2 linked regions of the Drosophila melanogaster genome follow. The protein of the gene in region 2 purifies or fractionates together with the protein of the main gene of each other region. This does not show direct contact. Each region holds a gene or a part of one and is shown on either strand. Other genes may lie near its edges. The genes, in order: Pur-alpha and fs(1)K10.

Region 1 (5,027 bases), on a different chromosome or scaffold from region 2:
AAAAGGTCGCAAAACATATAATAAATTAAATAAATTCAAAACATTTCAAAAAGCTGTGGCGTTGGAGTGACAACTCTTCAATCCAACTTAACTTTCTTGATTCCACTGTGGACGGAAGTACTGACGAAGCCCACCAGAACAATGCCGAATCGACTACACACATACATACACACGAAGAATTGAAAGATTCTGAGGTTTTGTCATTTTAAAAAAATTAATGGTTCGAAGAAAAACCGGTGAAGATTAACTTCAGCCACAAAAATTATTAACAAATTTTGATTAGTTCTTTAAACTGTAAATTTCTGTCGCGTGTTTTGTCTGCAACGACACGTTTTTTAAATCCTATTTGTTTTCTGTCACACAGGTCGGTATTTTAAACATTAGTTGTAACCATTATGAAAAACTACGCTACTTCAGCGGGAAAGCGGCTATACATATGTAAATATACGAGTATATCCAGATTTTACCCTGTCTAAATCCCTCAAGTTAAACAGAAATTTCCCTTGGCGAGGAAAAAATCGGACTGACAACACCTTCAATTTCACGTTTAGATATTACGTTCTGCGACGTAAAATTGAGTAAAGCACTCTTATTTGCGGAGTGTTTGTCTTTTAGCTCCTAATATTTCAGTTAACAGAATATTGGCGTTCAAAAATAACATGTGGAAGCAGTTTTGAAAATCGCTGGGGCTATCAAGGCAGACCAAAAATTTTTATTTTTCGGACTAATTTTACATAACTTTTTCTTAGAAACTCCCTGTTCACGAAAGGAAAGAAAACAATATAGCAGCACTATCCTCAAGAATCTAGGATTCTACAGGTACGCACATGATTAAAGCTTGGAAGGGATTAGTCATTTTTGAGCCCGATAAGGCGGAGTTCCGACTACAAGGGCATTGTGATATATTTTAAAATAAGTCAAAATATACACAAATACGAATACGAATTAAAAGCATTGACAGGGTGTATTGTACATTTGCGCACATACATCTATAAGTGTATGTATCAATTTATTTTTACTTATACTATTCTTTATACTCTAGTCTGTGCTGTCCCGACAATTTGGATTCGGATTTACGGATACGAAATACAGTCCCGATACCAAAATAAAAGATAAAAGACTAGTCGCTACTCTTCTCGTTTTTTCACATCCATATATACACATCTATGTACATATCTGCTTTACATATGTATTTCTGTGGGTTCACAGAGATGCTGTTTCTGTTTTCGCTTTCCAAAGTGGATGTGGCAGATGGCAGCGAGAGGAACGGAGAATGACCATAAACGAGGAGAGAACTGAGAGACGACCAACAAAAATAAGTTTGCGTGTATTTGTATTTATGTAGAAAATGTGTGAGTATATAGGTGGTCATATACTCACGTTTCGCTCGACGGTTTAGGCACAGGATAAGTACGGGGGAAATCGCGAACACAGTACGTAACAGTTACATTTCCATCGAAGTAGCAATTGAAGCACTGCTCCTTAACTAGCGTTCGCAGTATGATGCACATTTTGCATAATTTCAATTTCGAATGTACATGCAGACATATGTATGTGCACACATGTCGTGTATGAATACACACACACCCGAAGAACAGTAGTATGCCGCAGAATTTATTAATTTGCCTCACAGCACCGTTGCACGTTTAGTCGTTAATTTAAATTCGCGATGTATCGGAATCAAAACAGAATTCTGGATGAGATTTATTATAATTTTCCACTTTCTGCTGCTCATGCACGACGAACCACAAACAGCAACCAACACCAATAACGCCGCAAATAGAAAGACTAGGAAAAAGGAGCTTTGCTGACTTATTTGCAGTTTATCGGAGCTTTTTCGGTCAGACGACGCGTTGGATGGGTTACGTTGTCTTTCGTTACGTGCTCGCAACGGAGCTCCGAGAAATTCCCTAACGCGTTCTGCCGGATTCTACACGTACATAGATCGAGCGTTCCTTTTGGATGGCTAGTCAAATCAAATCAAACTAGGCCATTTTACTCAATCTACACATAAACATTGACTGTACAACATGCTCAAGCTTTCGCTGTGACTCAAAAACACTCCAAAACTCGGATTTGCATCAGTCTTCCTACAAAGGCGTTAAGGTATTTCAGCTCTTTTGGGCTCCATTCCCCTCCGTTCTGAACCTACGAATTTTCAGTTTTATCCGACGAACAAATAAAATAAGGGAGTGTCGATGTCATTTGTAAGGGGCAGTGCGTGTGTGTGTAGATGTTGTACGTTTTTTATAATTTTTTTCTTCCTGGACTTAAGTTTAAGAACTTAAGTGCTAGAGTAAAAATACCCAGTGTTGCAGTAGGAAACAGTATAAAGCTCCTCCATTTATTTGCAGTTGGCTCTAGCACTCCTTTCATGAGCACTTACATATATTTTTAAGTGTGCATTGCTAATATGTGTACTTTTGGAAGCTCCATTTAAAAAGTTCCCACCTTTCGTATTTGGTGCACATTTTCCCAATTTATTACATAAACTGTTTTATGACAATGTTGAATTCAAGTTTGAGTTCCCGTATTCGCTCGTATTAGATGAATATGTATACAAAAATCAGCTTGCTAAGTTCAAATTGTGTGTGTAAAATGGTTTTACCCGTAGTGGCATACATACATACATACATATGTACACATGCAAAAACCTTGAAACTGTTTTCTTGGGTAGTCGAATCAATTCAACGAATGCGATGGTGAACAGCTGATACATGTCAAACACGTACTCATGCAATGTAAACATCTAATTCCTGTACTTAACGGGATATTAGTTTGTTTATACAAATTTATGAATTCCTGGACTGGTAGTTCACTCAATTGACAGGGAATTACACATAATTTATTGCCAGATAAATATAATGCCTTGGAAAAATTATTTATTTATGTATGTACAAGAACGTTATAAGCAGTTTGGAAAAAAGTAGACATGTTCAAAGTGTATGTATGTGCATATATGTGTGTACATATATATATAAATATGTACATAATATATATATTTATATATGCATTTACATTTATATGTACGTTACGTCCTATGACTTTACTTATGTACATATGTCTATACGGATTCTTCTTATTGTTTAAATTAATACCGTTTGGTAAAAAGAAATTTCAAACTAAAAGTGAATAAAATCTTTTCAAAATAAGTAAAGAAAAATTACATCAATATACATTTTAATGCTAAAGGTCATTGAACATTTTACAAGCTTTATGAATTTTAATAAATTTTAATGTAAAAAGTAAAAATTAATTCATGCCATCCTGAACAAGAATATATACATACATATTTACATGTATATTTGTAACTCTTTAGATAGATCTTGGCGTCACAGCATGATTAAACAAAAACAACTAACGAGGTATTAACTTCTGACGATTGAACAAAAACGAATATACAAAAATTCTGATTTGTACTTTTATAACGAAAAATTATTTTATATTCAACTAGGAAACTATAATATCTGAAGTATACTCGACACCATTTATCAATATATTTCGCTGGCCTTTCATGCAAGTGTTCCGAGAAAGCACGTAGAATATTAAAAAAAATATATTATGCTGTGATCGTTTTGGGAACGCGGCTTACAATTTTAAAATAGTATAGTATTTTCACTTTCACCGCTTCTCTTCCGAACGATATACACATGTAATGGTCTTGGATGCAAGCCCTTAAGTTTTTGCATCTGCATATGCATTTCATCATGTACATACATATATAGTTGTCGCCTTTGGACACTATCTTGCTGCGCAACGTCACTACGAGGACTTTCGTCCACTGTGATATGTTTTGGCAGGATATATGTATGTATATTAACATACAATATGGTAGGTACTATAGGTAAGATTGTTAGGTCGGTATATTTTTATTCTATGTAGCCAAAATTAGATCCTACGAAATTTACTCATATGATTTAGGTATTAAAGGAAGTTAGTAAACAAAAACGAATTTACAGAAAAAAAAACAAACACAGCTGCTGTGCTGCTACTCTACGATATTAATCATAATTATCTATATTATATTTAAAGCAGGGGAATGTTGTACACCGGACAAAAAGAATGGTTATACTATTAACTATATGCTGTCGTGTTGAGGCACAAGAGTAGTGTAACATTAAAAGTGTGTCGCTGAAAAGGAAGGAAGCGTAACTATCTACCAAGCTTCGAGATTTTATAAATAGGTGGTCTCGTAATGTCCGATTTGGGAAGTGGAGATGATGGCATCTCAGGATCAAGTAAGTGAGCCGCATATTAATAAATATATAACAACTTCCATATTTTAGAATATAATGTTGCAAATATGGAGGGTTCCTCAAGTAGGAACGACTTCGATTCTTCTGCTAAAGGTAAAAATGCCACATGTATAATTTATACTATCTGAACACGTCACATTCTTTCGCGTCAGGAGGAAGCGGCGTCGAACAGGAATTGGCTACGAAAATGTTGCAAATACAATCTAAACGATTTTATTTGGATGTAAAACAAAATAGAAGAGGCCGTTTTATAAAGGTTGCTGAGGTAAATCATCTGATTAGAATTTTGTTATCACTTCTATTTTATAAAGAAAAGCTTTTGTTTGATTTGTATAACAGCACCTTTTGATAAAATTCACAACCATGGAACGTTATGTATAACAGCTTTAAAAATTTCAGATTGGCGCTGATGGTAGACGAAGTCAAATTTACTTGGCTCTTTCAACTGCAGCCGAATTTCGTGACCATTTATCCTCATTTAGCGATTACTACGCTTCTCTAGGTATATACAGTCCCATTGTAAAATGTTTATTTTTATCAATATTATTTTAAATACGAAAACTTTACAGCTCAAAGAAGCTGGGTTCGGAAAAAATATAATTTTTGAAATTTGAAAGCTGGAATCGTTTGCCCATTTTTTGCCCAATTAGTTTTTTTTGCCCACGTCCAGTTTTTGAGATAAGAATTTTCGAAAAAGTTCGAAAATGTTCGAAAATCAAACATTTCGCTTTTTTCAATTTTTTTTTTTAATTGCAACAACATCGTTTGCCC
Region 2 (6,539 bases):
CAGGCGGATAGGAGTCACTAGCGCAGTTCTGTATAGCCTGCACTATCAAGCCGAAGAGCTGGTAGATATTGATGAGCACATAGTTTCTGGTGGAGTGCATCCAGTCAACGCCGAACCAGGCCGGATACAGGAGCTCTCGATCCGGGCGAACGACCACGCGGACGCAACTCAAAGTAGTGCCAAATACGAAAATACTGGCAAAGGTGCGGAAAGTGCCCTGTGCGATATTCACTTCCTTCCTCAAGGCAGAAATCTCCTCGGGATCGCCCACCAGCCGGGCTCTAGCGTCCATGAGCCTTAGGAGAGAGCGAATCTCATGGAGCTGCTTCCTCACCATGTACACATTCGCAAACTTCAAATTGGCCACAATATCGGTAATAGTTATGGTCAGGTTCTCGCACAATCCGGCCATGTTGGTGGTGAACAGCAGCCTGGCCAGCAAGCTCAAGGGAAACAGCACGGTGACCACCAAGTTGACCGTAATGGAGTATACCACGTAAAGCAGGCTTGAAACGCCCGGAGGACGCATCAGGCCAGTGAGCTCCCAAACGCGCCAGTGGTAGTACACAGCACTGTGGGTGTTCAGTTTGAAATCCTCTTGCTTCTCCATTGTCTCGGTTACCTTTGGGCAAATCCATGGGTTCTATTGCCTATATACTCTTGCGATTACCAGTGATTGCGCTATTAGCTATTAGATGGATTGTTGGCCAAACTTGTCGCTTAAGTGGCTGGGAATTGTAACCGTAGGCCCGAGTGTAATGATCCCCCATAAAAAGTTTTCGCAATGCCTTTATTTTTTGTTGCAAATCTCTCTTTATTCTGCGGTATTCTTCATTATTGCGGGGATGGGGAAAGTGTTTATATAGAAGCAACTTACGATTGAACCCAAATGCACCTGACAAGCAAGGTCAAAGGGCCAGATTTTTAAATATATTATTTAGTCTTAGGACTCTCTATTTGCAATTAAATTACTTTGCTACCTGAGGGTTAAATATTCCCCATTGATAATAATAATTCCACTATATGTTCAATTGGGTTTCACCGCGCTTAGTTACATGACGAGCCCTAACGAGCCGTCGGTGGTCTATAAACTGTGCCTTACAAATACTTGTAACTCTTCTCGTTTTGAAGTCAGCAGAGTTATTGCTAATTGCTAATTGCTAATTGCTTTTAACTGATTTCTTCGAAATTGGTGCTATGTTTATGGCGCTATTAACAAGTATGAATGTCAGGTTTAACCAGGGGATGCTTAATTGTGTTCTCAACTTCAAAGGCAGAAATGTTTACTCTTGACCATGGGTTTAGGTATAATGTTAACTGGTTGGGAGATTGGTGCTATACTAGAGTTTTTACGTTGGGTCCCCTAGGCTCTACTATTCCGCTAAGTGGGGCTGCTTTGGCGTTACTTGTCAGGTGGATCCGGTCATGAAGATCAAGAGCGTGATTAATCTACAAGTCGGTAAAGAGAACAGCGGAATTGGGTCAGGGACGGGGTTGGGTGGGGAAAAAGAACACAAAAACAAATCCGTAGATGCACACCATCGAGCACACGTTCACAGAGTGATCTTAATTTGTAGTTTTTAAGAATTAATTTAAAAATACAATCAAGTGGTGTAATCTAAGGCCTACAGTGTGATTTATGCCAGAGTGCTTAGGATCCGGCCACTCTGTTTCAATTATGTCGCGCCCACGCACTCGGGCAACGAATAGGAAAATAATTTATATATATATATATATCAATATATATGCATACATATATAGGTAAGGGCGTGTCATAAATTGTGTACACATACTTGAAATGGCTGCAACTTAGAATTGAACAACAAATAGTTTTCGAATAGGAAACTGGTACGTTACGTTACGTTACGGTTACATTTCAATACTCTACTTTACGTTACGCTAGGTTACGTTAGACAAGTGAATCGATTCGCAATCTAAATTTTTATCGCTATTACTAGAGTTTCGCCCACATTATTATCGCTGGGTTTGTATTTGTTGCTACATTATCGTTCTAAGCTCAGTTCTCAGTCGCAAAAGCAACGTGTGACAAAGGCGGCGCCTCCTCGGATTACGATTGTGTATACGTATATCCGATATAGGAGTCGGGGTTTTGAGTTATATTCGTCTTCAATTGTCAGACTCTTGCTGTTGCTCGCTGTTAGTTTTAGTTTTGAATTGCTCATTGGTTTAAAGTTTAAGTTTACATTTAGTTCTGTGAGTCGACCGACCTCTTCTTTAGTCGGTTCGATTCGATTGATTCGGTATTCGGATTCGGTTGCATTGGCTGCCTAGGGATTTGGAATTGTTGCATCTTTAGCGCTTCCGGCCTTAGGGGCTGCGCTCTGACTTGAAATTGCGTTTTTGTCTTTGTCTGACTTGGCATCCTGCAAAAGAAATACGAGAATTGCCAACGGTGTTCAATAGCAAGGTTGTTGAGTGTGTAAAAAGAGCTCTCAGATCTGTTTTCGCTATTAAATGCATTCTGCGAACTTCTCTTGGCTATTTCCAGATAACTACGCCCACGAACATTAATCACTCAAATCATTATCATTTCATATGCAATGAGTTTCATAAGTTGGGTTATATCTGCTAATTAAGTAACTAAATTGATGTTCTGGCAGTTTAAAATTCATTAAGTTCGCTTTTCACATGCCAACCAAATTGGAAAATGAAAACAGCCATAGGATTCAGTACTGAGGCTCGTTCAATTAAGAATATTAAGTTACTAAGAGTGCATTTATGAATCTACTACGCCTGCCACGATCGAACAGTACAAAATTCTATTAGTTTTTTAAATTTGTATACAAGGTGGCAGTAAACACATTGTATTGCAGTTCTAAATAGTTACACAATTTTGTTCAGTTCCTAATAAATCTATGGTTGTAAATATATGCCAATAGTTTCTCTTTTGCGGATATATATCAGTGCCAAGGGAACAACCGAAGGTGAAAATAGATATGACAACAACCTTCCGCAGGACTGCAGGATAATGCGAGAGAGTGCATCAGGTTGAGACTTACTTTTTCACTTTCTCTGCTCTCTTATTTTTTTCCTACCGCCCGGCAAACGCAACAAAGAGGGACGGGTGGGGGTTACGGATCAAATCAGGGGTGCAAAGTGATTCCGGATTAAGCCGAAACTGTACCCGGAATCGGTGTGCCTCCCTGAATAGAGCTTCGGATGGGACACCTGTTCCAAGGGAATAAGGATATGTTGGGGGGTCTCTATATGCTCACCTTGGCCTTGACAGTGGCTGCCTCCTGCTTGAGATACTCTTCCCGCGCCGCTTCGTAGAGACTAACGAACTTGTCCCGCTGGCCCTTGTACTGAGCGAAGAGCTCGTCGTCTTTGTGGCCCTTCAATCTGTTCTCGATGTCCACCTTCTTGTCGTGCTCGCTGCGTATCTCGTCCGTTACCCAGGGCTTTTCGATGGGATACTGATTGATCAGGTTCTTTAGTGTCTTTATGCTGCTCTTGCCTTTCACCACCTGCTTGATTAGCTTGGGATTGGGCTTCATTATCCGGCCGCCATTCATGTTCATTGGTCCATAAGGTCCGACCGGTGGAATTCCCCGCGGCGGCATCCGTGGACCCATCATGTGCATGGGCGGTGGGACACCCATCATAGGACCTGGACCGGGTCCGTTGCGACGCATAAAGAGCGGTGGCGGCGGCGGTGGTGGTCCACCCATGGGGCCCATGGGTCCGGGACCGCGCATACCAGGCACCGGTGGCGGGAAAGGCATTTGCGGGTAAGGTCCTCCAGGGCCCATCGGTCCGGGTCCCCGTGGTCCGGGGCCCATCGGACCCATTGGCGGACCCATCATGAGGCGTGGAGGAGGACGGTTCGGAGGCGGCCCGCGTTGGAATCCATTAAAGCCACCGCGAATCTGATTGGGATTGTTGCCCGGATGGCGCTGCCAATCGCTTCCGTTCATCTGATTGTTGAAGGGCTGCTGCGACTGGTTCATATGATTGTTGTTCTGGTTGTTCATCTTGCCCTGCTGCTGGTTCGGACTGAGATGCTGCTGCTGGTTCGAATTGGGATGCTGCTGCTGGTTCGGACTGGGATGCTGCTGCTGGTTCGGACTGGGATGCTGCTGCTGGTTCGGACTGGGAGGCTGCTGCTGGTTCGGACTGGGATGCTGCTGCTGTTTGATGCCCTTCATAGACTTCTTCTTGGGACTGCCTACCTGATTGTGTTTGAATCCTGGTGGCGGGCTGCTGAAGTCAATGTACAGGGGATCGCTCGGCATTTGGCTGGAGGAAAACATCATCTGATTGTTACCGTTGACCCTGTTACCATTCCCATTTCCTCCTGGTCCGGAGTTAATTTTGCCCGAACGAAACGGTTTTCTATACGGAGCCGCAGCTGCGCGGGGATTATTGTTGCAATTATTATTGTTGCTCTGGTTGTTGCGGTGCTGCAGATTTGGCTGCTGCTGTTGCTGAAACTGTTGCTGCATTTGGTGCGGGTGCTGCTGCTGCGACTGCATGGTCCAGTTCTGATAGAATTGGTTCTTGGACACCATTGCAGGTAGCTGGATTTCACTGAAAACGGGGGTTCAGGACTCGAGCAGAGGAGCCAAGCCGAAACGACAGGCGGGGAGCAGATGGATCTAAAATGTTGCACGCCTATTTGTCACAAAAACTTATATTGAAAATATTACGATGAATCGATTGCGATAACGTTTCGATACCAGTGCTGTCGAAGGAGTGTGAACAACTATAACAATCAGTTTTTCCCACTAATGTATGTTTCCACTAACACAAATGTAACATCACAGCACATTTTAGAGTATCTCAACTTTTGTTATCGCCTGCGCTGTTATCGATAAGCGTACTTCGCACGTGTGATTTAAATCAATGTTTATATTATTGCCCAAAGTTAATTCTGTTACTTTATTTTATTAACTATATTGGTAAAGTAAAGTAATCATGGGCAAGAAGGTGCACAATGCCAAGGCGCGGCAGAATCCACAAACAATTGTGGACAACTCGGCCGTGAAGAAGGTAGGTCATCCGTCGGACCACACACTCGAATCCGCTTTCTTACCCTTTCCAAATCCAATACTCTACAGATTCAGATCGATGTGGATGCTGTGGCCGGCGGCAACCAGGTTGGCTACGATGAGGCCAACGCTCTGGTTCTGCCCTCCGAGAAGCGGGCCACCAAGATTAAGGTGGACAAAGTGCAACACGTGAAGATCCTTTCCAAGAAGCAGCGCAAGCACCTCCAGGCTATTGTGGACAAGAAGAAAAAGAAAGAGGGTGTAGGTTTTTATTCAGTGCTAATATAAAACTGATATTTAATTGAAATCTTTTCTAATTTAGCGCGCTCAGCTGTTGGGTGACCTTGCTGCCGTTCAAATTCCGGAGGAGGAGCTGCAGCAGTATACTTCCATTAGCCAAGTGCAAACCGTGGGATTAAAGCGTCTACCCACCCTTGACGAGTATCTAGCCAAGAAAAAGGAAAGACAGGCCCAAGTTTTAGCTGAAAAAAGCTCGGCGTCGGGTCTCCGCGTAAATGCTATAAAGGGCTCCAAGCGCAAGCTTCTCGTCGAAGAGGAGGAGGAACTACAGGCCAAGCGAAAGAATCCGAATGTAATTAGCGTGGAGGAAGATGACGAAGATTCTTCATCCTCTGATGAGGACGATGAGGAGGCACCAGCTCAATCCGCTCCTATTGCCATACCCACTCCAGTGTCTATAGCTCCACCGCAAATCGCTGTTAAACCACCCATTAAAAAGTTGAAGCCAGAGCCTAACCCACCTGCCTGTATCCACCAGACTGTCTATGTGCCCGTACATCGGACAACAGAAGTTCAGAATGCCCGTCTTCGACTGCCTATCCTCGCGGAGGAGCAGCAGGTGATGGAGACAATCAACGAAAACCCCATTGTGATCGTGGCTGGTGAGACTGGCTCTGGAAAGACTACCCAGCTACCGCAGTTCCTGTACGAAGCGGGGTATGCCCAGCACAAGATGATTGGAGTGACGGAGCCGCGGCGAGTGGCTGCTATTGCCATGTCCAAGCGGGTGGCCCACGAGATGAACCTGCCGGAGAGCGAGGTGTCATACCTCATTCGCTTCGAGGGAAACGTAACACCAGCGACGCGCATTAAATTCATGACAGATGGTGTGTTGCTTAAGGAGATCGAAACTGACTTTCTGCTTAGTAAGTACTCAGTGATCATCCTGGACGAGGCGCACGAGCGCAGTGTTTACACAGACATCCTAGTGGGTCTCCTGTCAAGGATCGTGCCCTTGCGTCACAAACGCGGGCAGCCGCTGAAGCTGATCATTATGTCTGCCACTTTGCGGGTATCCGATTTTACAGAGAATACTCGCTTGTTTAAGATTCCGCCACCGTTGCTTAAAGTGGAGGCTCGACAATTTCCGGTGACTATTCACTTCCAGAAGCGCACACCTGATGACTATGTGGCGGAGGCTTACCGCAAGACCTTAAAAATCCATAATAAGCTTCCGGAAGGCGGCATACTAATTTTTGTGACGGGACAGCAGGAGGTCAACCAACT

Evidence for each region.
Region 1: the proteins of fs(1)K10 (region 2) and Pur-alpha purify together in Drosophila melanogaster (affinity purification with mass spectrometry, with the first as the bait; one large-scale study listed by BioGRID). This does not show direct contact.

Annotation. Positions count from the first base shown.
Region 1 is NC_004353.4:556,063-561,089, forward strand, and holds the start of Pur-alpha (Purine-rich binding protein-alpha), read left to right. Parts: upstream 1-1,953; 5' UTR 1,954-2,106; intron 2,107-2,160; exon of another isoform or gene 2,161-2,238; intron 2,239-3,601; exon of another isoform or gene 3,602-3,831; intron 3,832-4,032; 5' UTR 4,033-4,195; coding exon 4,196-4,238; intron 4,239-4,286; coding exon 4,287-4,349; intron 4,350-4,408; coding exon 4,409-4,521; intron 4,522-4,655; coding exon 4,656-4,758; intron 4,759-5,027.
Region 2 is NC_004354.4:2,240,302-2,246,840, reverse strand, and holds fs(1)K10 (female sterile (1) K10), read right to left. Parts: upstream 4,704-6,539; 5' UTR 4,533-4,703; coding exon 3,237-4,532; intron 2,385-3,236; coding exon 2,289-2,384; 3' UTR 800-2,288; downstream 1-799. Other genes in the region: Or2a (odorant receptor 2a), read right to left, coding at 1-610; kz (kurz), read left to right, coding at 4,939-5,013, 5,082-5,273, 5,335-6,539. UniProt on the Drosophila melanogaster protein: May be involved in localization of sqd to the oocyte during oogenesis.